Struthio camelus: one gene and its partners. The protein of the gene in region 1 binds, or shares a complex with, the protein of each later gene. Links are inferred from orthologs where the notes say so. Each region holds a gene or a part of one and is shown on either strand. Other genes may lie near its edges.

Region 1 (10,004 bases):
GTGATTCCTCACTACCCCTAGAACCATTCCAGGTGGTACTAAAAAGAAGCCATATAAAACCCTCACACTTAGAACAGCGCCCTGACAGCTTTGGCCCAAGCCAGCATCACATGTAAAGCAATGGAAAGAGCTGACAGCTGGCTAAGGAACATTGGTCAGTTTTAGACTTGAAAACTAAACATGTCTAATCTTACCACTGTATGTACAGCCTTAGAGTTTTTAAGCACAAGATTCCTTTAATCAACACGTAAAATTTGTTTCAGGACAACGACAAAAGAACTTTCCCTCAGGGCTGCAATGAAAGTATATTCACAGAGATAACAACATAAACTAAAGCCTGAAGGCACACCATGAAATTTGTATTATAGAAGGAGGAAAAGGATAAACAGAAGCAGTTTCAAGAAAACCATTTTTAGGGAGAAGTCTGTGACGTTTACTTGAAAAACCGAGCAGAAGGGCACAAACTCAGTAACTCTATTTCACAAAAATATGGCCAGCAGCTTTTCAATACATATATTTGGCTGAAACCTCCTAAACTCATTATGCTGACTTTAACATGCTCAGGTGCAGCGTATTTCAGGTGTTCGGTATAAACAAAGAGATATTCAGAACTATGTGAGAGGCAAATCTTAAGCATGTATTTTTCCCTCTGTTTCTACTTCTCCTTTGCCTGACTAATCGCTCAGCACTCTTCCACAGCCAGATGCTTTTTTCCTCAATCACGCAGAATAGGAGACGCACCGTTGCCACAACGCCCCATACACATCTATTCCAAGCCCTCTGGATTACAAACACTTCGGGTGCAAAATAAGTACTAACAGTGCCATTGCAATGTACAATAAGAGCATAACAGGAAGAAATGAATAAAAGGAAATTAGAGAAGAGGAAAAATTTTAACTTCAGCAGTTTAACAAACCTGGTTTTCTATATAGGAGAACTGTCTATTAGCTTCCTTCTGTGTGGTCCTGCTGCCCAGCACACCTCCAAAGCTGCCAGATCCCTGAGAGGGTTTCCCAGCTGACAGCGAAAGCACACAATATTTAGTTTGTCATTTAATTGACTGGCATTCTTATTTGTAAGAATGTTATCTACAGCTGAATTTGGAAGAGATACAGCAGATTTCCAGACAGTACAATATTCTGAGATCACAAACATAAGCTCATTTTTATGAATATCTCTTATATTGGTTGTTTGCTTAAAGGGCACTACAGTCCCTACCCTTAAAAAGATTAAAATTAAATAAGAGGAAAAATAAAAAGAGTCTTTGCACATGCGATGAACACAGTTTTTCGAATACACACCTGCTTACAACATAAACAATAAGTCCAAGTTTATTTTCTGCTTATTGTTGAGCATGACAAAGGTACACGATGAGAAAGGTGTGTAACAAAAATTTGGGTTCGAGGCCAAAAAGCAGCACTTACACAAATGCAGCACGCAAAGAAAGTCAGTAACACAAGGAGGACAGAACAGCTAAAGGTGAAAAAAGAAAACATAGCATTTACCCTTCCCCAACCTATCACTAATTGATTTACAACAATCGTACTTACCAGTATGAACCCTGTCCTGATGGACTGCATCCAAATACATCCGCATTTCATTTGCGTCTTTAAATGGTACCTTATCAATTGTCAGGAAGCTGGTATCCTTTAGTGTCAGCATCAAACAGCACAGTTTTCTACCGTTTGGTCGTAAGGTCACAGTTTTAATATTATGGCTTAGCTGAAAAGGAAAAAGTGATTGTAAACACAAATCCAATTTAAAAAGATCAAAAGACTAATACATTCCAACAAAAAACTTCAAGAGAGTAAGAGGTACTTACACAGAAATACTCCCCCCTGCTTCTTTTCGAGCAAACATTAAGCCTCACAGAATTAATGCAATCAGTTATCCTGGAAACTGACAGAACTGAAAGGACACTATCGCTATAGCTGAACAGTCCCTGTACTCCCGGACAAGCTTTCTGAAACTTAGTTCGCTGTGGAGTGTGATGTTTCTGAACATAAAGGGGTAAGAGCTTCATACAGTTCCATTTAGCTGTCTGAAACTTCTACATAAAGTCCGAATTATTATTTAAGATGGTGAAAGTTTAAAAGTTTTGAGTTTCAAACACTAAACACAAACTTCCATTTAGTTTATAATTTGCTCTCAGGGAAAGCAGATTTGACATAGCTGAAACAACCCAGTTAGGAAATAAGTCAATAAGAAACATATTTAGTCCATATGCAGGATTAAAACAAACGATATCAAAAGTTTCAGGGTTATGGTCTATCCCAAGAATAATTTTAATAAGAGTTTGTGCTCCCTAATATCGCCACTGCTGCTTTATTCTACGTTATACCATTATATAATTGTTACTTCTGATAAGTCACCTTCAAGAAATTGGCCGTTCAGTAACGATTCCATCCATGCAGCCTAAGGGTAACTCTTAAAACAGAGGAAGTAAAAGCGTATCTTGCATCTTCTGGGTAAATGCAAGTTTAACGACGTATACCTAAGTGTATCCACATTTTAAATTCCTTTGTCCTTCTTCACTTAATGTTTCATTTTGCTAGTCACTTCTTTAGCCTTGCCTAAGATTAGGCGCTAGCTATGCAACAAGTTCCACGCCAGTATACCGCTGTGTTCACATAGTCCTCCAAACAACACTGGAAGCCACAGCCAAGGTCATTGGGCAGGCTTTTACTACATCCCTGTGTAGTGCCTATCAGATTGGAGGCTTCTCCTAATTCAGCCATCTGCATACTGCCACACTATCAGTATAAACAAAAAGGACTCGTGATTGTTATTTAAACTTGTTCAAGTTTTACTGTAAGACAGTAAAACGCATACCACGTCTATCGGTGAGATTTCCCCCGCCCGAGATCACTAGCTTTTTGGGAAGCTAATCTAGACCTACCAGCAGTTTATGAGAGAGGCTGGAAATCCAACTCAAACAGAAACTAAAGGGTTTATTTTGCTGGAAAAATTAAACTTCTGTAATGTTTTATGCTTAATTCTTGCTCTTAAAAAAAAATTCAGAGACTGAAGAATTGAGAAGAGGCTTCAAATTTTTCATCCTCGCGTAAAACATGGAGCCCACCGGAAAGGGATTACAGTTTACTTCACCATCCCAATGAACAACCCATTTCAACTCAAAATGCTACTATGAAAGGACTCTACGCATACTCTCCATGCACCTATTATGACCCAATAAATGTTATAAAGTTTTGGGAGGCAGGGGCAAATGAAATAGTTCTTTTAATACTTATCTACCATCTAGCCCAACCTGGTCAAAGCTTTTAAAAATCTGTGAAACGCATCATCTTATGTAAGAAGTTGGATGAGGCACTAGTGGTTGTGGAAAGAAATATAACCCCGGATCTATCCAAATGTTTTATTATAGAAATGAAAAAAGGTAGAGAAAGGGTCTGTTGTACTCCCAGAGCAACTTGTCAACAAAGAAAGAATGCTACTTCTAAAATAGATTTATCAGGCATTTGTCACACCTGTAACAGCACGCAAGAGCACTCTGATGGACTGGGGGCAGCTGACGTAAACTACAGTCAAGTGCAAGCCTGTGGTACAGGGGGCAGTCTGCTTTCCCTGCCTGCTGCCTGTTCCCATAGCACTCTTGTGCTCATACTAGTGTCTGTGTTGCTGCAAGATAAGCAGGACTGGAAAGCAGACCCAGTTGAAAAATAGCCACCACCAAAACGTACAAAATTTGTCTAAGGATGTGGCTGCATACTTGCTCCTCTTCCTTCATTGCATTCCTACCTACATGGCCCATGCCACTCCCTCTACCAGATCCGGCATACAGTCCCCTTCCTTGAGTGAATTCAAGTTACTTTTCTGCCAAGTCTGTGAAATGAACTGGCTCACAGAGATATCTGACAAATGCCAGAGCCAGCAGACGGCAGCAGGCTGCGAGCAAGACCTGCCCCTTAGGCCACGATTAGTTGTTACATAGGTTCAACCTCCCTGCGGACCTATGCTTCAAGTCACTGCGATGCCGCGTTAACGCTTGCCCGTGCGGAAAGGAACGTGTGAGAACAAGCACCCCAGGAAGGTACGCGGGGAAGAAAGGACCGCTCTTCTCAGTTGCGACATGATCTAACGCTGGATTAAAGCAAACATGCAGTCATAGCATCAGATATGAGAAGACAGACCATTCTATCTTATACCTTGATTCAAAAGCAACACGGGCTGATCTAAGTGCTAATTGTCGTGGCTGTTAGGTTCGTTGCTGAGACTTTTCAGCGCGCTAAGGCAACAAAACCTGATCTTTCAAAAATAAAACAAATTATTCTTCACCATGTCAACGCACAGAAGCGGCTCAGAGAAAGGTTTGATGAACGCTAGAGCTGGAAAATGATTGTGGCAAGAAAAAGCAGAAGCCAACACCTAGACCAATTAAGGCTGCTACAAAGTCACTAACTGTTAGAGGGTCTTTTCTTAAACTGCTCGTGCCCTCTAACATTTTCTAAAATTAGACAGTAATTTCTTACATAAAAGAAATAACTAGGAAAAGGGAGATGAAAACAACTACAGAATGAAAAGAATAAAAAAAAAAGACAGTTTAGGCTGAATATGGGAAGAGAATCCCTAATAATAATCTGCCTCAGTCTCCCAGTGCACAAATCACATTGTCTGGCATATTTAAAACTTAAAACTGGGCAGAACTGTAATACATATATAGCACAACAGTGTGGTATAAGCAATTAGAAAAGCTACAAGTATGTTAACACTGATACTCTTCAGCCAGGAAAACTGCTAGTATAAATGCAATCCTTTAGGATCACATGGAGCGTCACCTCTAGATTCTGCAAACTTATCAGTAAGGTTGCATGTTCCAGAACTTTAAACGTGTGAAACAAGACAGTGTATACTTCGGTAGTTTTTCCTCTGCTTTTCATTTCTTTCTATTCAATCGTAGGCTTGATGCTGACCTCAGCAGATCCTTTAACAATACACCTGAATAATTTACAGGAGAGTTATACAAAGGGATTAGTGTTCAGGAAATGAGGAACAAGAAACAGGGACAGAGGGAAGTTTATGCGACTCTTAATAGCCTTGAAGGGGACAGCTGTTCAAAAAAGGGCACAAGCCATGCACTGCTCAAACAAAAGCCTGAATATTTGCTATACCTGAAATGTCTTTGGAATTCCTCCAACATTGTAGTGAACCACTAGACTCACTTTGTTGTCCTTCTCCACAATTTCAAAGCTCCCTTCTTTCCATTTTGTAATCCCAGTCTGCATGCTGCGCATCCGGACAGGTCCATGCACCTTTAGTGGAGCCATGCTTTCTCACAGAAAAGAACTAATAGGAGTAAGCGTACGTCACTTTAAAAAGCTGTGGAAAAGAAGAAGATTATAACTAGCTAGTAGCAAATAGTCTCTACAGAAAGATAAAAATAGGATTAAACATTTCTGTAGAACTTTGATAAAAGTAAGCTTTGCTGTTTCTTTAATCCACCTGAAGGAAACGCAGACCAATAAAAACTTTCCCAGTTCGGACAGTAACACACTGACTCCTAAACGCATAGAGGTGAGTGGACTCAACAAAGACACAGAAGTTCTTTCAAATCTTTAAACCGATTTCCACAGGTTTAAGGAAATTAAAAAAAAAAAAAAAGGCGCACCTATCTTCAGGAAGAAAGCGTAAAGTTGATAAAGGGGAAGAAAACAAAGTTTCAAAGGGACCCTACACCGGAATTACTTTGTTTCCGCTGTGACCGGAGACCAGAGAGGCTCTTCGGCGGGTCGGGTTACCTCAGGTATCACCGGCAGGTAGTTACCAGCGCGCCTGAAGCGCCGCCGTGCGCTCGGCCCCGCCCGCCCGGCTCTGCCTCGTCAAGGGACCGGCCCGGCCAAGCGGCGCCGAGCCGCGGGGCTTCCCCGCCGCAACGGGGATTCACGGAGGGGGAAAAAATAAATAACAGCAATGAATGGGAGAAGCCCGCGGTCCGCGAGAGGGGCGGGCGGGCGGCAGGCAGGGAGGGAGGGAGGGAGGGAGCGGCGGCAGCCGCCTCGTCGCCGACACACAAGCCCGGCCCGGCCCGACCCGCGCCGCCGCTGCCGCCGGGCCCTCAGCGCCGGGGGGGGGGGGTGAGGGCCGGGGGCTGCGCGCGCAGCGGCGGTGGCGGGGGGGGAGGGGGAAACGCGGGGGGCGTCCGGTACCTGCGGCCCGGCGGGTCCCGGCGCGGCGGCGGCGGGGGAGGGGGCGGCGGCGGATGGCGGGAACCGGCCAGCAGCGCCAGACGCCGCGCGACGCACGCACGTACGCACGTACGCACGCGCCCTCGCTTGCGTCAGCGCTGCGGCGCCCTTCCCGGCGCGCCCCGCGCCCTCCGCGCCGCTCGCCCCGCTCCGCCCCGCCCGCATGCGCCCGAGGGGCGGCCGCCCGCCCGCCCCGGCCCCCGCGCATGCGCGCGCCGCGCGGCTCCGCTCGGCGCCCCTCCCCTCTGCCTCCGCCTGGCGCGCGGGCGGCGGCCGGGCGCGCGGCGGGGTGAGGGGTCAGGGGTCGCGGGTCAGCGGCGGCTCTGCCTCTATGGCGGCGGCGGCGGCGGCCTCCTGAGCTGGGCGCGGCGGCAGCAACAGCAGCAGCAGCGGCTCCTCCTCCTCCTCCTCCTCCGCTCCCACCATGCACAGCCTGGCCACGGCCGCGGTGAGACCCGGCTGCGGGCCCCCGGCGGGCGGGTACCGCGGTGCGGCCCTTAGCTGCGAGGGGCCTTTTCGCCGGGGCGGACGGGGGCCGCCTGCCGCGGTGCCCGGCCGCGGTCGGCTCCCTGCGGGGCGGGGGGAGGCGCCGGCGGCGCCGCCGAGGGAGCGCTTCCCCGCTCTAGCTGCGCTGGGGGGAGCCCTTCCCGCCCCTCCGCGGCTCCCTCCTGCCCCGGGAGGGCCGGGGCGCTTCCCCGCCCGCGGGGCCGGGCCCGCGGCGGCGCGGCCACGGGCCGGGGCTCGGCCGGGCCGGATTTTCCCTCCTGCTGCTGACCGCGCTCTCCCTCCGCGTCTGGGCGTGTTCCGCAGGTCCCACCACCTCCGCTGTCCTCTGGGGAGCTTTTTCACTTCTGGCCTTCACTACAGAGGCCAAGACGAGAAAGTGAAAAGTCCCTCAGGGCAGCAGACGAAACGTGGGAGGAAAGGCAGACCAGACCGCCTTTTTCTTCTCTGCTTCCCCAAGTACCTTGCAGGGCAGTCTGTAGCTTGTGCTGTTCCCTTCCTCCCTCGCGGGAAGCTGCCGTGGTGGGACGGGCTGCCGGGCATTAAAGCTCTCAGCGGTAGAACAGTACCTTGACCCAGCTGGCAGGATGGTTCCACAAGTGGAAGTTGAGTTTGGGAGGCTGAGCAATGCGGTTATTGCTTTTTATCTCCCATCTGAAGGGGTTTCTGTTTTGTTTTCGTTTCTCCAAACGCTCGTTCATTGCATGTATGAGACTTCCCAGAGCTGACTGAGTCTCTGGTGCGTATTGTGTTTGGGGAAGTTTACTGCAAGGCCAACAGTTAGAGCTGTTCTCATATTCGCTTAGCATAAGGATCTGCTTGGATTGAAAAACAAGCAAGGCTGAATAAAGTACTTATGAGCAGGAGTTGAGGGAACTTCTTAAGTCTTCCACTTTGTTTAAGTGGTCGTGATTGTAAATTGGTTCTTCGAGTGCTGGCAAATACTTATGATTTAAAGTGACACTTTCTGGAGCACAGAAGGGTATGCAAATTCATCGTGAACTCTGTTAATCAGCACTTACATTTTTATAGCAATGTAATTCATATGTGCTTGTCAAAATGCATGAGGGATTGTTGTGTTTCCCATTAATCCTCTATCTGTAGTCTAATTGTCTCCCTATAAGAGGATTTTTTTGAAAGACAGTTTTAATAAAATAACATGATTCAGGAATTAAATTGCCTTTATTTTGTGGTTCGTTTGAACATATCTTTAATTCATATGTAATTCCTGCAACCTGATAGTTCTGTATTGGAACAATTCTTGTCTCGGTCAGTTAGCATGCAGTAGAGTAAGTGTGTTTTGGAGGGATGGTCATCTCTGGAGAAGTGCTTGGGAACTATGGTAGATAATGTTACCTCCTGGTTGGATTGTGAGTTGGCTCAGGAATTCCCTTGGGCATAGTGAATGTCATCACGATAAACTAGATGGTAAGCTAGAGTATTGGTCGTTTTATAGTGATGCCAGAGGCAGAGATAATACTTAGATTTTAGGCCTGAAGATGGGATAGTGTGCTAGAGAGGAAGACTTGAGATTAGACTAAAAACAATAAATGTAGCTTTAATTAGCAGCCAGGCAGTGAATCTCTGACTTAAACTACCTAATTCACTACTATTTAAATAAAAAGTTCATTTTAGTGTTTTGGGGTTGGTGATCTATCAAAATTGTTATAAAAGCATGTACATCCAATCAGTCGATGTTTCGTTTCCTCAGTCGGTATTTTGACCAGCGTGCCTAGCAGTAGCTGCTTAAATAGGAAAAGAAAGCCACTTGCCTAAACTGAGTTTGTTATGTAATTGTTGGAGATGTAATCTGGCAGAGATGTTTGAGGTAACACCCCTTCTCATGAGGAAGGTGTTGCAAAATCTTTCGTGATGCAGAGGTGGCTAGTTCATGCTGTGTTAAGATATTGTTGGTAATTTTTGCTTTCCTTATGTGCAAAAGAAAGTCTACCTGGGAGGGTCCTACCTTGGAGCCTCTGGGGTTTTCCAGAGCTTTAGGTTTTGTGTGTGTGTGTGAAACAACAAAGTAGGACAGTAGGAAAAAAAATATATTTTTGGTTAAACTAAGATGAGAGGAGCAACTGTAGGGCTTAAGGAAAGCAGTTGGTTCTTGTTAAGACAGGTATCGGACATGAAAAACTTAACTGTGTGGAAAATCTACTTAGTCTTCTGTAGGGATCGCAGGCACATGATTGTGCTTTTAAAGGGTCGATGTATTTAAGCTTACAGGAACTGAAACTTCCAATGTGTCTAGAAAAATAGATGGAAGCTTTAAATAACACAATTACAACAATGTTATTGCTACGCTGCTTGTTCCTCTGCCGTTCCAAACAAAACAAATGAGCTCTGTTCGTTCTCCCTCTCTTTCTTAGCTCCAGTTTAGGAGTTGCCATTGGAATTGCACTTCAGCTCTTAAAACAAACCAAATTTGTCAGTGTTACTATCTTCATGTGAGATTTTGGGAAAAAAAAAGATGTGAGGTGGCAAGAGGAAAAAAAGGGGGATAGCAGGAAAGATGAAGAGTTAAAAGCCATTTCAGCTCCACAGTGTAGGGATTGGTAACAGCATATCAGCTTATATGCAGGCATGCAAGATAACTGATGTGATGGAAGTGGATGGGCAATAAACAAATTACAGTTTCTGCTCAATATAAATTCCACAGCAGGAAAAGAATGACAGCAGATATAATATGTGAATAAACTGTGGAGGGCTTGCAGAAATAGAGATGGAAAGCTCTGGAGGGGGTCTCATCCTGGGAGGCTGCCACTGACGTACGATTTCAGTTTGGCTTCCAATCACTTTCAATTCCTGAACTCATTTGTATTCTCTTCGATGACTCAGTGATGAGCTGCTTCCTAGTAGTGTTGCTGTCAGTGCAGTACATGCAGTGCTTACATCTGTTGTGGTAAGCGCGTGAGGAGTTTCAGTCTGTGTGCTTTTTGTTTGTTTGTTTGCTTTTTTAAAGAGAGAGAGAGAGAGAGAGAAGGAAATGCAGTCAGTTCTCTGTTTCCAGCCACGATTGCTGGGTATATGGGGATGCTGAGCTGGCTGCATGCAGGCTAGCTCAGGAGCGGTAGCATACTAATAGAGCTGTGCTCTATTTGAGCAGCAGACACTGTAGGAGAGTGTTTGAATAGGTTCAGAACTGACTTTTAGAATTCAGACAGGAGGTTTTAATGTCTAAGTTTATCTGCTGTGAAATTTTTGATCTGAATCACTAAACTGTCTCTTTAGGAAGCCTGCTGAGCATTTGTTTGCACCTTGAGTGCTTATTATGACAGCAGAGGCATGAGACAA
Region 2 (9,504 bases), on another chromosome or scaffold:
TCCAATAACAATTACAATTTCTCAAATGCTAGTGTTCATTTAAATTTTACACCAATTGCATATTGGCACTCAAATAGTTTGTAGAGTTTTATTTGTATTTGTAAAGGGGTTACCTGACCAACCAGACTGTCTGTGTCATTTTTAGTCTGGAATCTGTGCATCCTTATTAGAATGTATGAGCCAAGAGGACAGAGTTAGAGATGGAGAGTCAGTAATTCAAGTACAGCCCAAATCCCTTTGTCCGTCTTTAAGAACTCAATGCGTGAAGTTTACTGAGGTTCTTAGCCAAATCCAAACATAAAGAATGATGGAACACACTTTATGCTCTTACGGACCTTTTAATGGCTATTCTATAAGCCACCTAAAAGAAAGGGGGTATGCGCTGCATAGTCCCAGAAGAGCTGTTCTGCAAAGGCAGAAAACGGAACTTTTCTTTACCTTTACACCATGAGACTGTGCTGCAGTGATACATCTTCCGTGGAATATAAACCCACTGAAATAGCTGGCGTCCCAAATCTCCCCCTTGAGAGTAATGTGGTGCCTTTTAGAAGTCATATCTGGGCGAGAATTCATTCATTTGAGCCTCCGCTAGCATCACATTCTCTTGGTTCTTCCTTGCACAAGTTTCAAGCCTGAGAACATCAGCAGCAATACGCTCACAAAACGCGTATGCTCAATATGCTCACAAAACATAGCACCTTGTGCAGTTATGGAAACCCTCTTTTGTAGCACATTTACTATACTTCCCGTCCCAGTAGCATTTTACCCCCATCTTTTTCTTAGGCTAAGATTTTTGCTCCCGCAAAACGGACATCTGCTTTAAAAGTCATGAGGACTTCATTATCTACTTTGTCAACTGATGCTTGCTGCCCATCCCACTTCCTATAAAGTATTCCATCTTCTAAACTGTTAGCTTTCCTGCTCTGATCAGAAACCTTTTCATTTGGATAGAATAATTTAAGATGGCTTCATTAGCCACATATGAGTCACACAGGTTTTTTTGCTATCTCAGTCACCCGGGGAAACTTTTTATTGCTCTGAAGTCCATTTCTGCAAATCTACATCCATTACTCCAGTAAATATGCTATACAAGAGTGACTTACATTTCTGCAAATTATAGGAAGAAGCTTTCTCTTTCTAAACATGTTTGTTCCTCTTGCAACAAATCTTTTGCTCTGCTGTCTTCAGCAGAGTTTGTTATTAAGAAGTAGGCTGTACAAAAAAGACCATCTGGACAGAAGCACCACAGTTCTATTCAACTGTGAGACAGCATCCAGCAAAGTGTCCTTCAGCGTGAGCCACAGATATAGGCGTCATCATCCCTAACAACAAACTTCGTCCCAAAAATGAACAAAAAATGACTTTTGCTCGCACACCAAAGGCAGAAAATCTGGAGAGTCTGTGAATCCAAGAGATGAGCAAGATATAAAAAAACACTGAGGGGAAAAGGTTTTAAGAGAAAAGCCAAATTAATTCTTTGCATCTCTACATGAGATCTGGGAGACGTTCCCACACAAGAACCTTTACTGACGGGGTACAAGTCAAGAGAACTGTCTTACTCTGCAGTGTTAGTAAAAGAAGTGAACCTAATTGCCTAAAATGAGATATTATTTATCACCAGTGGCAGATGGGATTCACTCAAGAGATTTATACCAGCTGAAGGATGAAGATGATAACCTATGAACTGTGGGTGTACCTGCTGATCAAAATGGTCTCAGTATCAAAGAAAGAAGGGTGGCAAATGTCACATCAATCTTTAAAAAGGTCATGCAGATAATCCAACAAACTACAAACCACCAAGTCCAATTTCTGTACACATTGCAGGAAACTACAGCAATGAACAGAAACGTGCCCAGAGAGGTGAGACATTGAGGATTAACCTCCATGTGTGTACATAAAGGGACTGATGATGCACTCTTCCTGGGTACATGCTGCAGCTGCTCAAAGATTCCCAGTGAGACAAAATCATTCAGGATTGTCAAACTCATGGGAAACTACTGCAGGAGATTTTCATAATATTGAATGACTAAGTGGAATGGTGATGAAATCAAATATTTGATAAATGTAAAATACTGCAGCGAGGGTGGGGTGGAAAGGGAAGGAATCCTTCCCTTTTGTAGAGTTCAGTGCTACCCAGCCAGCTATTGCCGCTGAGGAAAGATAACCTGGAGTCATTGAAGACAGTTCTTTGATAGTGTCAGCTCAACCCTCACTGGTCAAAACAGCAAACAGCATACTAGGCATTACTGGAAAAGCAACAGAGAACAAAACAGGTCTCATTACATAAAGGTGTGTAAACCTACAGATCTACGGGACACTCACAGGTGGAACACTGGATGCAAGTTTGGTTCTCACTACTCAAAAAAAGGATATACCAGAAGTAGAAAAGCAGGATAGAAGGGCAATAAGGATGACAGAACTATGGAATAGATGCTACAGAAGAGGACATTAAACAAATGAGACATCTAGCCTAGAAAGAGAACACCTGAGGTAAGATAAGTAAGAGATGTACAGAATGATGAGTGACGAAGAGAGTGGAGAAGGAAGTACTGTTTTGGACAGAAGGGGTCTTAAATTGCCACGCTCATTGCCATAGGTTGGCGGTGTCACAGAGTTTTATGGATGAAATATAAACAGGCTCAAAAAACACGTAAGACAAGCTCATGAAAGAAAGTTCCATTTCACTAATCACAGTGATGAGGATTCAACCTTTGACTCAGGAAGTCTCTAAGCTGCAGATGGCCAGAAGCTGAGAGTACACAGGGGGAAGTGTCACTCTGTGCTTTCCCTGTTACACCCTTTCTTTAAGCTTCTACTAGCAGTCATGGAGAGGGCACTGAGCTCAATGAACGTTATGAACCTCACTGTTTTTGTGCACAATGATGGACGTTTCTAGCCACAGCTACTCATACAAGTCTCCTTCATTTAGTCCAGTACCTCCTATCAAGAAAACCTAGTTTTGCTGTAATAAGCTACCACTCTCCCAAGTCTTTTATATCCCTGTATCAAACCAGATTCCCTCGTCTGTATAGCTGTTTCAAAGAGAAAGAGGAACAGCCACTAGGGCCTCTTCCACTCTGCAGACCACTGAGATTGTTTCACCTCCCCAGTGAACAATGGTTCTTTAATCCCACAAAACCAAAAAATCTTTCCCCGACAAGAACAGAGTACTGCAGTAATTCCTCTATAGATGAGTGCTGGTGGGTCAGAGGGGAAGATAAAGTTGGTCTCTTCTGCATATCCTCAGTTTCTTTGTAAGCTGAAATGTCTCCTCAAAGACTGAGTGTTCAAGCCAGGTGCAGAAGTTCATCCTTTCCACCTATTTTTCCAGAAAGCCATCTGAGTTCTGAGGAACCTTCCTCTCCTAACTACCGAGCTTTCACATTATTTCAGTGGGGGTAATCAACCTCCTCTATGTATCACAAGTAAGGCAGAAAAGCTCTCCTACATGTCTAAACTTTCCCAGGTTTACGGTCCTGCTAGCCTCACCGTACACCTACATAGATGACTTCCTTCAGCAGTTTGCAGTCCTTTGATCTTCCTCCCAAATCTTACAATTTAAGTCCTTGCTGTAGCTGTTAGTAAGTTCCAAACTGCCCCAACTTCCAAGACTCCTTGTTTCCTAGAATATACTCTGGGCCAAGACAGCAAGTTCACCAGCCTCCTCTTCCATCTCCTTTACTCGTTTAGCCTGTGTATTTTGCAAGCAGATTTCTCACAGTGATCTAGTCAGTGAACAGGCACTATACCAACAAGGCTTTCAGAAGACCGTCTTCCACATGGCTAACATTCGTTCAACTATTATCAGCACTTCTTCAGGCTGTGCTTGGTCTGTCTGTGGGCTGCTGTCGATCTCAAGATGCAGTTCCACAGGGTAAGCTGATGAAATAGATCTTTCTCCCTTTCTTCCAGTCACACCCTACTGCAGCTCCACTGGCCTTCAGGTCTTGCAAGAAACCCTTCAGTGGATAGTTTCCAGTTGAATCAGCTCATGGAAGAAACAGATGAGCCCCAGCTCCAGGATCGCCTTTGGGCAGGACAAAAGTGGACAGCGAGAATAAGCACGTTTCAACAGCAGGAATTGGCAAGGTTGCCTTGGCTGTTCACTGACGCACGGCCCTGGCTTCTCTGTTCTTCTCTGTCACTCTTCCTCAGACACGCAACCTTTCACAACACATTTGTCCACGTGTCAGGCACGTGCCCTTGCTCCCACTCTGGGTTATGACATGAGAAGACATTTGGGCTGGAAGTTTCATCTGTTGTTTCAGAAAGCAACTCGGATGAGTCAGTGATCTTAACTGAAGGATATCATAAGAAAATGCAATCAATCACCTAATAGCTCTGCTGTTAAAAGCAGTTGTGATTGATTCTCCTCAGCCAAGAAAACAATGCTAAATCTACCTCTCAGCAGGGACAGGCAAAGATGGAGAGAGCTACAGATGCAGCTACAGGTCAACCATTTTGCTTCCTCCTGAACAGCACCTCATTTCTTCAGATCGCTGTATGACAGCCACCCTGCTGTGTGGGTTCTAGTCGCAGTTATCTCCCTGGAGGTCTGTCCAGCAGGCCACCAGGAAGCCGAGCAGCTCCCCATGCACCTTACACTGGGATTGTTGCTCTCCTCTAATTAAAAAAAAAAAAAAAAAAAAAGGGAAAGGAGGAAAACTAAGGGAAGGGAGAAAAACGCCCCCGCCCGCCCCGCACAGGCCCGCCGCCCCCGCGCACGCGCAGAGCGGCCCCCCCGCGGCTGGCTGCCGCCGGGCTCCCCCTGCCGGCCCGCCCCAACGGCCGCGCGCTGCCAGCCGCCGGCGCGCTCCGGCCCCACCCCCTCCCCGGCGCGGACCAATGGCAGCACGCGGAGCCGCGCAGCCAGGGCCAATCTCCCCGCCCCCTCTCCCCGCTTCGCGGCGCCGGCCAATCGCTTTCCACGGGGACGTGCAGGCGGCCAATCGCCGGGGTCGATCGCGCGCGCGTGTGGCGCCCTGTGCTCGCTCGCCTGCCCGCCCCGCGCCAAGCCGGAGTCTCCCTCCCGCCCTCCCGCTCCGTTGCGGCCCCGCACTGCCTTTACGGCAGCGCCGTAAAGCGGTGCCGGCACGGCGTTGCGGCCGCGGGGCGCAGCGGGGCCGGTGGCCGTTGCGCGGGGCGGGGCGGGGGCGCGGATGCCCGGTGGCGGCGGCGGCAGCAGTAGCCCGGCGCCCTGCACTCAGGTGGGAGCCGAGGAGCCCGGCGGCGCGGCGGGGGCGGGCGGCGGCCCGGCGGCGGCGGGCGGCAGGATGAGCCTGTCGCCGAAGGAGCTGTCGAGCCTGCTGAGCATCGTGTCGGAGGAGGCGGGCGGCAGCACCTTCGAGGGCCTCTCCAGCGCCTTCCACCACTACTTCGGCAAGGCCGAGCACTTCCGCCTCGGCTCCGTCCTCGTCCTGCTCCTGCAGCAGCCCGACCTGCTGCCCAGCCCCGCGCAGCGCCTCACCGCCCTCTACCTCCTCTGGGAGATGTACCGCACCGAGCCCCTGGCCGCCAACCCCTTCGCCGCCGTCTTCGCCCACCTCCTCAACCCCGCGCCCGAGCGCGGCGGCGACGAGGCCGAGCGCACGCCGCTCTCCGGTGCGTCCCGGGGAGTGGGGAGGAGCGGGGGGGGGGTGCTGGGCCGGGGGGCAGCGGCTGGTGCCCGGCCGCGCTGCTGGGGGGCAGCCCCCCCCCCCCCCCCGGCGGCGGGCTGAGGCGCTGGGAGCCGCCTGGCCGTTTGCCCTCCGTAGCGCTTCTCGAGGCTTTCGGAGAGCGGCAGGCGTTCCCGTCCGGGGGTGGCGGGGAGTGCAAAACGGTGGCGCTTTTTCATGGCTAAAGCGTTGCCGTGCCCGTGCGGCCTGGTCTGGCAGAGCTTGCTTGACTGGACCGTAAAACGGAGCTTTCGTGAGTAAGCTTTTACAAAAGTCGTGAAGGTAATAGGAGTTTCTCAACAGCTTCTTAAAAGCGGTGAAACAAACTTTGTAATGAAATACGTGGAACCCTATATGTGATACAGTTTCCCCCAGCAGTAAATACATGCATGACAGTGATGGGTAAATCACTTCCTAAATTTTTTCTTGGTTTACTTTCTGTATAAATGGCGGTGCATATCATGTCATGTTTTATAGCTCATTATTTATGTAAACTTATCTAAACTTACTTAGTCTAAACTTATGACTGACTTAGTGTTAGGTGTTGCATGTCAGCATGTTCTGCTTTTAGATTACTTTTGTGTTTAAGAACCAGTAGGTATAATGTTGAATTTTACCTTAGGAGCTGAGTAGATACAGGTTTTGTGTGTATTTACAAAGACTTTTCAGTTGCACTGATGTCAGCATAAATCATACAGTAGTTTGTGTTCTGTTTTTGTTTGCTGCTTCTCCGTGAAGACTATTGAAAGTACTAATGTGGCTGGCCTAACAGTCAGGGATTATTTTTCCTTGTGTCTTCATAGGCTTTTTACCTCCCATAACTCCTCCAGAAAAGTTCTTTCTGTCTCAACTGATGTTGGCCCCCCCAAGAGAGCTCTTCAAGAAGACTCCTCGGCAGATTGCTTCAATGGATGTAGGGAACATGGCCCAGTCAGTGGATATAAGCGGCCTTCAGCTAGCCTTAGCAGGTAAGGAAGAACCGCAGTGTGCCATGGTTCAATTAGAATTCAACTGTTAATTATAATTTGCCTGTGAGCTACTTGGGAAACATTCTTGCCTATCCTAAATATTAAAAAGGTTCAGCAGTGGTTTTGAGTAATAGGATAAAGCAATCTGTGCTTGAGGTTTCTACTTAAAAAAGCAATTTCCTACGCGCAGAAGTCCTCACTGCCTTAAAAATAAGATATTTTCACAAGTATAAAAGTATTTTCATCTAAAGCGTTGTTTCTTTTCTTTCCATGAATGTTTTCATCTCTTTTCACTCTCTGCAGTAGTTCTAGTATGAAAGAACATAGGATAACTGTCACATAGCAGTATTTCAGCTGCAGCTGGCAGATTGGCTATTACAATTGCATCTCCAGTTTTATGAAATAGTCAGATTTTCAAGTGTGAGCTCGAGACTGGGAGCACGGTCTGCTTTTGCTAGGTTGAAAAGAAAAGCAAAGTAATGCTTATCCTTTGACAGGAGAAAGGAGCATGATTGTTCTGATCGTTTCGTCTTCTGGACGTAATCTGAAATAGAAAATATTGTGGGGGACGAGGAGCCAGTCTAGACAGCAAAAATTAGTGGGTTTTTTTTTCCCCAGTTATGTGCAAATGGGTTTACTCACCTGAAAACTGATCCTCCTGGTTCTTTATCTATATAATGTGGTTCACCTCTCTGAATTATGCACTGACTAGGCTTTCTCAGTCCCACCGTTGTATTTTGATCTCATCGCTTTTTGCAGGATCAGTCACTGTTTTCTTATGCTCTGTTATACTGTCCCTTGTTTGCAGTGTATAAATCTTCTTTGGTGTTCTCCTCAGACATGATTTCCAGACTGCAGGATGTTTTGAAAATGCAACATTGAATACACTAACCTACCTTTGAGGGGTTGTCACAGTTGTATGGATGGGTACTCAATGCATTTTATTCTGCCCTTTTTTTAAAGTGCAAGACAGTGGCGTCTTTAAAAACAGTACAGTCATTAATGGTGCTTTTCAAAATGCAGCCCTGTAAGATGTGCTCGTATGTTTACTTAAGATAGTAAACATGCATAACTAGCTTTGTTATATAACTCTTGCAAAGACTCATAGCAATACTGTACTTCTGATAAAACGTTATGCTGCCTTTCTCATACTTCGAGCTGTAGCTTCCAAGAATAAATGTCTTCTTTCTATCCACTTTCTTAGAAGTTGACTCTTTTCGCTCTTATTTCAACATTGTCATGCTTCTTGACTGTCTACTTGTAATGTTTCAGAAATACTGAAGACTTCTGAAAAATTTACAGTGCGTTTCTCCTAATGATTCAAAATGCAAGATGAAGCTGTGCTGTTTATGCAGTGCAGACTTATTTCTGTTGCAACGCTTAAATACGATGTTTGAGGTGTTGGATTTGTCCCATTTTTCTCCATGTTTCCTGGAACGTAAAAGTTGTAAGGCTTCATGGCTCTGGAAAGTGGATTTTGTTGTTTGTTTGCTTATTTTTGTTTTTGATTTTTTGTCCCCGAAATGAATTCGGGGCTGCTTAGAGGAGAATGATTTCTGAGCTACTTTAGATTGTATCTGTGAAATCCACTTAAGCTAGTTAGAAAGTATTACGCTCTTCAGTGAATCTGTCCCAAATGTTTTTTCATGAATGGGGAAAAAAAAGCACTTAGCTTGTCCTCTGGTGTCTGACCTGAGGCATCATTTACGCATTCTTTAAGTTAAACATGACGACTTCCCTTTTCAGCTATAGCATGGGTTTTTTGTTTTGTTTTGCTTTGTTTTTTTTCTAAGAACAGAATGTTGGAAAACAGTGTCATGGGAATCAACGTGAAAGCTTGGTTTGTTCTCTTACTTGGGTCTGCAGAACGTTCATTCAAGCCTCTGTCTGTTTCTCTAACTTGCTTTTCTTGACCTGGTGTGTTACCCTATCAAAAATGTCACTTTCTAGTAGCTGGAGGGACATGTCTCCGACAAAGCATTTTTAACTTTTTGATATCATTTGATAACCCTTACTTGTTTTAAGGGTAATTGACCAGTATTGAAAATTGATTTCTAATGCATTGTAGTATCTTCTGTTAAGAATTAAAGGAAGTTTCTTGTAATCTGTAAATAAGGAAAAAATAAAATAAAATAAAAGCCCTGTAATGGAACCTTAGGAATTGTTTTCTTATTAGCTTTTTAATTCAAATGTATTAGTTCAAGAGGCAGGCTATATTCTTTTCTGTTAAATGAGTATCTTAATTATAATTTACTGCTCTCAGTTTTTGCTTCCACTTATCTGAAATCATTGATCCAGCCCTGATTCTTGGAGCAGTGAGTGCGGGCTGTTGAGCTTCACTGTGTTTAACTCAGGCTTCATGCAGGCTCCTAAAATCAGTGAATTGAAGGACTGTAGCCTAAGCGTTTATACTTCGTATTAACCATCACTGGTGATTTGAAATTATGGGGATCCAAAACAAATCTGTGATTTGCTATTACCGATTTGATAGAGATTTAAATTCTAGACTATAAACTACAAGACTGAAAAAAGACATCCAATATCTTTTTCTCTTTCCCCTCAGAGAACTTCATTTGTTAAATCAACCATTCTGTCCAGTGGCTGAATGAGAGTGTTCACAAGCTGGACTTTGCAACGGTTCATAAAGTAGAAGAAATGTTTCATAAACCAGTTCATTTGGACTTACGACTTAAAAAGCACTTTTTTGAAAATAGCTAAAAAGTATAGTACTTTAACAGGAAAACATACCCTCTGTGCTAGTTCAGTGAGCGTATATTCAAACGTTTGCATGATCTGAAATAATTGGACAAAGCAGAACAGAGCCATAAAATAAATTAGCAATGTGTAGTGCTTTGTTGTGATGACCTCGTCACTCGTAGGAA
Region 3 (9,791 bases), on another chromosome or scaffold:
GTCCTCCTCCTTTTGAAATAATCAAATTACGACAGGAGTCTTACTTAGGCAAAGCCTTCCCATTTGAAATAGTGCTGCCATGTTTGCTTTTCCTTCCTCTCTCCAAAATCTCAGTATGTGCTACATTTATTGAGTCACATGTACAGAATAAAATTTTATGTTACTTATACTAAAGCAAGGTAAATCTTGATTGATCATGTTTTTCCCCATCTCACTACCTACTCTTTTTTTGTTGGATAATGTTGTCTTTTCTGACTCAGAATACACCAAATACATTAGCAGAAGCATTCATGTAACCATGGCTGCTTTGGCAAACCAAACATTCCATCCAACCCCTTGGCATTAAACTCATGCTGGCATGCCAGACAGCCCAGAATCAACCAATGAAGAGTTTGGCTGGCTGGAGCCATTTCAAAATATTACACAGAACTGATGCTGTTTAAAAGAGTTTCTTTTAGGTTATTTCTAACTAGTTAATACAAAATTTGATTCAAACCAAATTCTCACCTATAAAGTAATAATAATTATTTTGCTAGTCACACTCTCAATGTAAAAGGGAAAACATAAACTAGTCAGTAAAGAACTGTAATACAAAATACAATTTTTATTCTCAAGTACTTCTTCATTTCTCCAGCAACTGTTCATGAAGAGATCTGTTTTCACTGAACTTAACCATTCCAGTTATCAGAAAAAGATAGTCTGTCTAAGCCAGGTTTTAAAATGCTTGACGTAAGCTGAAAGGGAAACCTTTAGAAAGCTTTAGAAAAAGGAACTGCCATATTTTTGAGGTCTGTTTCAAAATTCACATTATTGTTTATATCCCACATCTGTTGTCCCCCTATATTTCCTCTTGCCAAGACAGTCCCAAGCTTCGACTGCACCGGTGTCCACTTCTCCTTGTACTTACCCAGGATGTATGTCTTGTTCTGACACCAAACAAACAGTCAGGCTGCTGGCAGGTGCAGAAGCTGACCAACAGGATATGTCTGTAATGATGGACTGACTGCCTAGCAGTTGCTTGGTCTGCCTTTTTCCCTCTTGCTTGAGTCTTCTATTTTAGAACTTACTTCACTGGAATCCACCCTTATAGTGCACAGGCAGTGGAAAACAACCTTGCCCGAGGGGAAAAAAAAAAAAAAAAAGGCTATAACTATTTGTGAAAATATAGAACTTACAGAAACGAAAACTTAAGGACCACCTACCTGGTCACTCCAAAAGTTGCATTTTAGCCACGCTATATGGACAGACACAGGACTATATTTCGTGTCTGGTGGGTGTCCTATCGTGCCAAGCACCACACGGATCTGAAGGCAACCAGAGTACCTGCAAGAGCTCACAATCACATTTTAAATAGATACATGACATTGCCTTAAAATTATTTCCTTGAAGTTTCTGTCATATATTTTCAACCTACTCTGCCCCTGAACTCAGGCTGCCCATTCTTTGCTCACCTCCTGCTGGTTGCAGCCTAGCAGAGTTCCTCTGTGTCTATTCAGAGCCCAGAGTTCAACTCCTCACCTTTCACTCCCGCTGCGGAAACTTTATGAGGGCTTAGGCAAAGGCGACAGGGGTGTGTTTCCAATCGAGAGCTGGCTGTCCCCTCCTAGAGAAGTCATGTGAAGCCAATGCCATGTCACTGCTAGTACAGGCAGTGTTCCCTTTGCATATGCACACACTGTCACTCATTTAAGCATTTGGAATGTATCTCTGCAGGTGAGAGTTTTCCACTGAGAGTTAATGCTTATATCTGGGAATAAAAAAGCCAGCTACACCTTAAAGATGAGTATCTTTTATAATGCACTAATTCATGTTTTGAGCACAAAACAAAGCGTCAGTGCAATTGAGTAAGTCAAAAGTGTATTTGTTAAAAACAGTACGGGTTATTGGGGAATCTGGTAAAAAAAAAAAGCAGTTCAGTTTTCAATATAAGTAAGTGTTGCACTAACTCTGTTGTTACAGTGTGTTTCAAACCAGTTACACCAGTTACAGTATTGGAACTACCTATAAGCAGAAGATGCAAATAGCTTAGAATGTGCTCAGTTCTGTTTAAATAAGATGTTTAAAGACCATGAAGTCTGTAATTATGGTATTACAGGTAGCAAGATGTAATTTGCAGTAGCATTTGTCTTCATTATGCAGATGTGGCCCCAATACACGTTATTTACCTAACATACAGTGCCCTATTATGAACCAAACTCTGAGAAGGGAGGGTGTTACTACTCACCATAACTTTCCAGATTTATTTTCCCACACAACAAAAAATAAGGAGTATTTCCTCTCCCTCCTAGTTAAACTTGTCTGGTGCATTCATAGGCGAAGCAATATACAGTGCTATTTTGTGAGCAACATCTCAGCTAGCCACGGTTAGAGCTGCGGAGAGATCTGCAAGCATGAGTAATGACAGTGTCTTGCTGTCTGTGCCTGGTTTCTTCTACCTCGCACTATACCTATGCTGTTACCAATTAACTTTTTCTGGAAGGAGAATATTCCCAGAACTCCCCTCCCAACATCACACTGTTTGTCCTCTTAGCGCTAAAACCATTTGCTGTTGCTTCATTTCAGATTTAAGACTGTGTTATTGTTTGCATTGACGCTTTCTCTTGACTAATTCTAACTATTTCTTAGTGACAAAAGAGTTTTTAATTCTTAGCAGTTGCTCCTAATTGTTATTTAGCATACAGCAGACTCAACAAGAAGGAAAGTGATTCCTTCAAACTATTTACACATACACAGAAGAGGAAGTGGAAAATGGCATTTCACGAGAGGGGTGCCATGTGAACGTTGTCCTGAGCTGATACTTATTTGGAATGGCTCTTCACTAGGAGAACTGTTCACCCAATACGCAAAAGTAGGTGAAAAGCCAGGGAGTTTTGCAGACCCCAGAGTTTCTTTTAAACCTGTTCAAATCAGACACAGGTTACAGCTGAAAGCTCTACACCCAATAGGAACAGACAACCAGTATTTTAGTCATATGAGGACAAAAATGTCATTTACTTTTTGGACTGCAAGTCTGGGTCTAGTCCAGGTTGGAGGTTATCTAAAAGCTGCTTCTATTTGTTGGTTAGCCTGGGCCCTGCACTGGTATCTTCATCACAAAACCCTCCAGTGTTACTGCCACCTTTGCCGAGGCTCAGCTTTGAGGAGTGCAAGAAGACTGCTTTCCTCTCAGTGGAAAGGATTTTTGATCAGACACTTCATAAAATAACTTCTCTTTGTTCACTCTCTACAGTTTTTGTAGTAGTCACTGTCTGTTTTGCTGTTTGTAAAAAATATTAGAAGGAGAAACACTAGGAATTAGCTTAAAGGATAGTATAAAACCATGCTAATAATTCCACTAATGACAAAGATGAATCCTGGAGTTCGTGAACCTCAGCTCATCATTAATTCCCTGTATACTAAGCTATAGTTCTAACCATCTGTGAGGGCATGTGTGTGCCACCTAATACTTGTTGAAACACCTTTGGAACAATAGAAGTTTTAGGAAAATGGAAATGATGGTTACAGCTAAAACATGTTCAGCAATACTTTTATCTTTTAACTCTGAAGTCATGTATTTTAAGATTTCCATATATAAGCTGTCTACTCTTTGTGCTGCTGAAAAGGGCATGATCCGGAATATACAGCTCATATTGACTAGTACAAAAATGTTGAGCTAAAGCCTGTCAATCCTCCTTGCAGCGTACTACATCTACACATGGACTGGTTTTGTTAGTGTCGTCTTAACAGAGCTGTATAGAGGGTGGGAAGCCTGTTCAGGAACCTGTTCTGGAGTGATGAATCTGAAAGCAAGTCTGGTAACTTCCAAATATAAGAACTATGGGACTGACATATTTTAAGAGCAGTCTGCCTTTTCCAGCTATTTTTCCTTTGTATGCAGCTGAAATTAGCCATGATGAAAAACACAAATTCTGTTCTCCTTGAGCAAAAGGTCTGTTTCAAACTACCGCCAGCACTCAAACATCCTAGCTTTTTTTTCTAACCTAGTTGCAAACTGGCAAACATATTAAGCATAATTTATCCCAACTGATTTTTTTCCTGCAACATATTTTCGATTAGGGTAACAAAGCATGCACATTTCTGTGTCCTGAGAAGATTCTTCCTCCCTTTTTGCCTGGATTCAACATAAATTCAAGAGCTGGGCTTATGAGCAAGAAAAATAAAGTACATACCTTACTCTGAACTCTTTAAGTGAAAAAAAAAACAAACAAACAAAAACCAAGAATCTAATTCCGTATTTATGGCGTGCTGCAATCTATCCCGATGTATTTACCTGATAACAACTTAGGTTTCTTTGCCCAAATTCAAGTGACCATAGGAAGAAAGGTGATTGCTTTCTGCTAGTCTAGCATGTTGCATAATATATGCATTATATGACCTAGAGACTGCAGGTCTAAGGTGAGATGGCAAAACAGTAACTATCATCTACGAAGATAAGCTTTGAATTAAAATGAAGTTCAGTAAATACTGCTTGATGTCCGTAGATGCTGACACCATCAAGGACACTTGCTAGAAAGCAGCAGTATTCAAATAAACTTATCCTAAGAGGTCTTACATTTCTGCTGAGGTATGAATACTCAGCCTGGGACACCGAAACATGTCGGACACGAAAGACAGTGACTCCCTCGCCCCGCCAGATAATTGTATCAGAATAGTAAGGAGGTAGCCGAGGTTCAAGAGGACAGACTCCAAGGGAACCCAAATGACAGGCAGGAAACAATTCTGCAGCAGTAGCAGAGCTGCAGAATTCTAGGTTGCAAACCTGCCCAAGAAGGCTGGCAGCCCGGACGAAGCGAGGTACTACCTCCGCTTAATTGTAACTACACAGGCTTCCAAATACATTGCCTGCCTGCCGGCAGCATCGGCCAGCAAAGCAGGAGAGCTGGCAGCGCCGTTACGCCAGACGCGTTACATGAGGCTGCTTTACCTGACGGTAAAGCTCCTGTTGCTAATGTAACCTAAATGGCATTTAAGGGGGCGGCCCGTCCCCTCGGCGAGGGCAGCTGTTTCTCTCGGGGCTCTGCCACCCGGCAGGGCCCGCGGGCCGCGGCCGCCCCGACCGGGGCCGGCGCCGAGCTAACGAGGCGGCGCGGCCCGAAGGGGTCGGTCCCTCAGGGAGAGATCACCTAACGCCTCCCCCACCCTCACCCCCCGGGCGGGCTTTGGACTCGCCCGACGCGTCCGGCGCGGGGAGCTCGGGCGAGCCCATTAGCTGCCCCGGCAGGGGGAGGGAAGACAGGCGACTTGTCACAAGGGCAACGGCTCCGCGCAGGCGCAACCCGGGCGGAGCCCCGCGTGGCGCTCCGGGCTCCCCCCGCCCCCCTCCCTTCCTCTCCGCGGGAGCGCGCGCCACACGCGCGCCCGGCCACACACCCCGCCGCGCGCCCTAGCCCGTTTCCCATATCTCTCGCGAGAGCGGGCGGTGGCCGGGGGCAGCCCGGAAGTTCCGCCCCTCCTGGTGGCCGCATCGCGCCTGCGCGGAGGCGAGTGGCCCGGCCCAAGCTTCCGGGCAGGTAGCGGGGCGGGGGGAGGGGGCGGGGAGGCGATGGGGAGCGCCGGAGCAGACGAGTCGCGGGGGTGAGCGCGGGCTAGAGCGGCCGGGCGGCCCACAGGAAGAGGAGCGGCGAGGCCCAGCTCCCCGGAGCCGCGAGCGGCGGGGCCTGGCGGCGCCAGCAGGTGCGGGCGGGGCGGCCCGGGCGCTGCGGGAGGCCCCCAGCGCCGGCAGAGCTCGGGGCGCCGGGATCTCCCCTCCCCTCCCCTCCCCTCCCCTCCCCTCCCTGTGCCCCCCCGGTGGCGGCGGGCCCGGCAGCGGCCTGAGAGGCCTGGACGGCCGGGCGGGCCCGGGGCGGCAGCGCGGCCTTCGCGGCTGAGCCCGTCCGCTGCCGGGAAGCGGCTCGGCCCGGCGGCGGCTGACGGCCCCCCGGCCGTGAGGCCCGAGCCATTAGCAGCCGCTCGCAGAAAGGCTCTGGCAGTTGCCTCACGTCCCTCTCCCCGCTGTAGGTACCCTCAGCTAACTTCGTGCGAGCATACCGGCAGTTTGCTGCAGTACCTGAGCCTTAGCTGCGTATTTCTGTAATAATTTTGCCCGTGTGGTTTCAGAAAGTGATAGACAAGCAGTCATGCCAAGTGTGATTTATCCTAGGCGTTGTACTGCTGAAACGGCATTAGTATAAACTGGAATACCTTTCTTTTTCAGTGTTTCCTGAATTACATCAGAGAAGCATCTGCCTTTATAAGTGTCCTTTGTAAAGCAATCTATTACTTGTCTTCAAAACTATCCCAATAGCACCTTGGTGGAAGCTAAGCAAAATTAAGTGTGAGGATTCCCTGTTTGTGCATCTTATGCCTAGAGTTTCAGAGTTTATGCCAGGAGAAGATGAAAGGGAGAGGCACTATTGACTTGCATAACTGGACTCTATTAATTGTATGTCTACTCTTGTAACACAAACGGATGGTTTAGTTTTTCTTCTCTTTCAGCATGTTTAAAGGAAGTGATAAAAGCAAGGAAACAGTTAGTGTAAAACTTTAGCTTTGCTATTTGAGGTTAAGAATAGAAACGTGACTTACTCTGCTAGTGCATTCATTCAGATACCTAGATCTTTCTTCGTGTAAAGTACTGTATGTTTCTCTCTTTAATGCAGCAAACTGATTAGATCACACAGCTTGCAATTCTACGCTGTCAACTGAATTCAACATCAGCTGTTTTTACTACAATCCCTGCAAGATGCCAGCAGCCCTTGCAGAGAACAGCCAAGTTATCTGTGAAGTATGGGCAAACAATCTGGAAGAAGAGATGAGGAAAATTCGAGAGATTGTTCTAAGTTACAGTTACATTGCAATGGTAAGCATGTTATACTTGACCTTATTGCCACAGTCAGGGGATTTTTTAGGGGCAGGAGAATAAATTGATTCTTGAACCAGAAATGGTGTTTTCCTGTGACCAAACTGAGCTAAAAGTTAAGTAGTGAAAACTTAGAAAGCTGTTCAGTTATAAGGACTTCATGGATTTTGGTAAACATAGTATTCCGTACAGATTGAATGAGAGGTGGGGAAGTGAAAACCACTTTCAACATCTGAAATCATTTAATATTTAACTATACCCATTGCATAAACTAATGCAGTCTCAAATTAAAGAGATCAGATGTACAATTGGGTTTAAATCTTCAGATTTCACTGGTATACTTGTCCTCTGAATGCCTGTTTCCTTTTGGCTATGGGAAATGCCATGATACTGTAGGACAAAAGGCCTGCAAGTTGCAACTTGGTGGCTGGTAGGAATGCCTCCTTTTTTTTACTGCGGTCAGATGCTGATTCTTATGGAATAGATTTTTCTGGCTGCAGGTGTGGCAATGTGTTCGAAGAGTTTTATTTCAGAAGACCAAGGATCTTAATGAGAACTCTAGTTTCAAGGTGAAGGGAGAGATGGGAGGAATGGTTTCTTTCCTGCTCTTAAAAATAGGTATCTGCTCAGCAGGAGCCAGTTAATTACATAACTGTTTCTAGTTATTGTACTATGTCAACTTTGCTTAGGGAGTCTAAACTTCAAGACATTCGAAGTCCTTAATAGAAGTGTGGCATAAAAATACATATCCCTGCAGAGTATATGTTATTCAAAAATGAAACACTTAAAATCCTGTAAATGTGATTCAGTTTTGTTGTCATCAGTTGGTGGGAAACAAGCTTTCTTGCTTCTTTGCTCTGTTTGATGTTAATGAAAGCATGTTTAGATAGATCTATGCTAATGGCTGGACTGATATCATATATGAATAACTGGGCAGTAAGACTGGACACAAAAAGATTAGGCTAGGAGGAAATGTTGTCAGATGCATAATACTGGATTCTTTATGAAAGTTTTTGGATATGTTCTCTATCAAGCTGGTCAGAAGTTATGTGAATAAATTTGAGTGTAAAACTAGTCTAGAAGTTAGAGGTTTAGTCAAGATAGCACGCAATCACTAGCCAAGTAAAATGTTTTTTATGTAACACACAGTTTCTCTTTTGTTGAAGTCTGTTTTGATTGGCAGTAGCTTTTGTTAATTTAGGTGTTGGTTGTTTTTCAAAAACAGTGAAGATTATCACTAGCTGGACTATCACATTAAGACTGTGAGTGCTAAATTTAACTTGTATTTAGAACGTAAAAGAACACTGAATAAATATAAAATGCCCATTTTAGTGTATTTAGGGAAAATGAGAGGATTAGTCTTTCAGGAGAGAGATGTTTAGATTATGCAGTAGTGCATATTGGGTGATTTTATAACTTTTTTTTGCTCTGGAAGGAAACAACACTGAAAGAGGATACCTGGAATGAATGAATGAATATAATGATTAATGAATTGTTTAGTTTTTTTTTTTCCCAGTAGCTTAAAATACTTTTTTTCCTTTCTGCCTTCTATTATGTAAGTAATTTCATAGAAAAATGTACAGATTCAGCGCTGGGACCTAAAAGTGTGGAACTGAACGTAAGACTGCTAATAAAGGAAGTGATGTAATTTTTTCCCCCCCCCCTCCTTTACTAGGACACAGAATTTCCTGGAGTTGTTGTAAGGCCAATTGGTGAATTCCGCAGTTCCATAGACTATCAATACCAGCTCCTTCGTTGTAATGTTGACCTTCTGAAAATTATCCAGCTGGGCCTAACTTTCACAAATGAGAAGGGAGAATATCCTTCCGGAATCAACACCTGGCAGTTTAACTTCAAATTCAACCTTACGTGAGTCTTCTGAGCTAGGGAACGATCACCTATTCTCTGCTGATGCACTGATGTTTTCCTTTGGCAAATGCAGGTGTCACTGGGTTCATCACTGGTGAATGATTCTGACCAATACAAATTCAGAGTCAAATACAGAAAGATTATGTGGGAATCTGTTTTGTCATGACAGGAGTTTGCAGTATTTCTGGAAGTCAAAGCTCTGCTAAAATGTGATCCTTAATACTCTTTTCCTCGCTAAATGGCTTATACCCAGTATTTGTATGTGCCGTAAACGTGTGTTCTGGAACAATGCTATAGTGTGGTTTTTTTTTTTTTTTTTATAAACTGTATCTTTTAAAAATTCATCTCTCTTTGCTAAAAATAAATGGATGTGCTCTCCTCTGCAATGAAGACGACACCTCTTACAGACCCATGCCAAATACAAGCTGGGGCATTTAAAAAAAAAAAAAAACGTTGGTGGAATCATAACAGTTATTCAAAAGAATGACTTTGTTAAATGGAGTATGGCAGTAGTTCTCATCTCTTTTACAGTGTTATTTCTTTGTACAGTTGAAACAAACTTCATAATCCCTTTCTGTGTAATTGTAAAGACAAGTTAGCATGCATACCACTAGAGCTGCCTGGAAACATAAAGAGAGTGTTTCTCTGGCAAACACACAAATTTTTTGGAAATTGGTATTTTATGAAAATGTTACTGGAAAGCATTATAATAATTCTTGTTCATGTATTCTGTTCATGCATTTATTGACACCAAAAGTTGCAGTATTTAGTTCCCCAACCTTGTCAGGGCCTTAGAAGTATTGAAATCAGAATGAAGTATTTTGGACGCTGTGAATGCCTCATTTGATCCAAAATGATTATCTTTGTCATGAATTTTGTTCCCTCCCAGCATACCAAACGAAGCAGTCTAGTACAGAAGTCAGGTTCTTCCTCAGCTTTCCACCAAGCATATCATCACTCATTCCGGTCTTACTTCCTTAGTCATGTTTGTAAAGCAAAGTATTATGCAATTTTTTCCACTCCCAGAGATGGAAATGGAGATGAAGATAAGGCTGTAATGTGAAAAATAAAAATGTAGACAGCA

What was found.
Region 2: CNOT9 (region 1) and CNOT11 share a complex: the UniProt entries of both Homo sapiens proteins name them as parts of the CCR4-NOT complex. The link is inferred for Struthio camelus from reciprocal best matches to the Homo sapiens genes CNOT9 and CNOT11.
Region 3: CNOT9 (region 1) and CNOT8 share a complex: the UniProt entries of both Homo sapiens proteins name them as parts of the CCR4-NOT complex. The link is inferred for Struthio camelus from reciprocal best matches to the Homo sapiens genes CNOT9 and CNOT8.

What each region holds. Positions count from the first base shown.
Region 1 is NC_090947.1:28,489,097-28,499,100, reverse strand, and holds the start of CNOT9 (CCR4-NOT transcription complex subunit 9), read left to right. Parts: upstream 1-6,450; 5' UTR 6,451-6,627; coding exon 6,628-6,651; intron 6,652-7,170; exon of another isoform or gene 7,171-7,309; intron 7,310-10,004. Other genes in the region: USP37 (ubiquitin carboxyl-terminal hydrolase 37), read right to left, coding at 917-1,017, 1,551-1,722, 5,130-5,285. UniProt on the Homo sapiens protein: Component of the CCR4-NOT complex which is one of the major cellular mRNA deadenylases and is linked to various cellular processes including bulk mRNA degradation, miRNA-mediated repression, translational repression during translational initiation and general transcription regulation.
Region 2 is NC_090942.1:152,289,332-152,298,835, forward strand, and holds the start of CNOT11 (CCR4-NOT transcription complex subunit 11), read left to right. Parts: upstream 1-5,145; 5' UTR 5,146-5,159; coding exon 5,160-5,601; intron 5,602-6,457; coding exon 6,458-6,622; intron 6,623-9,504. UniProt on the Homo sapiens protein: Component of the CCR4-NOT complex which is one of the major cellular mRNA deadenylases and is linked to various cellular processes including bulk mRNA degradation, miRNA-mediated repression, translational repression during translational initiation and general transcription regulation.
Region 3 is NC_090954.1:11,998,994-12,008,784, reverse strand, and holds the start of CNOT8 (CCR4-NOT transcription complex subunit 8), read left to right. Parts: upstream 1-5,333; 5' UTR 5,334-5,510; intron 5,511-5,524; exon of another isoform or gene 5,525-5,673; intron 5,674-5,807; exon of another isoform or gene 5,808-5,993; intron 5,994-6,638; 5' UTR 6,639-6,721; coding exon 6,722-6,838; intron 6,839-8,513; coding exon 8,514-8,707; intron 8,708-9,791. UniProt on the Homo sapiens protein: Has 3'-5' poly(A) exoribonuclease activity for synthetic poly(A) RNA substrate. Its function seems to be partially redundant with that of CNOT7.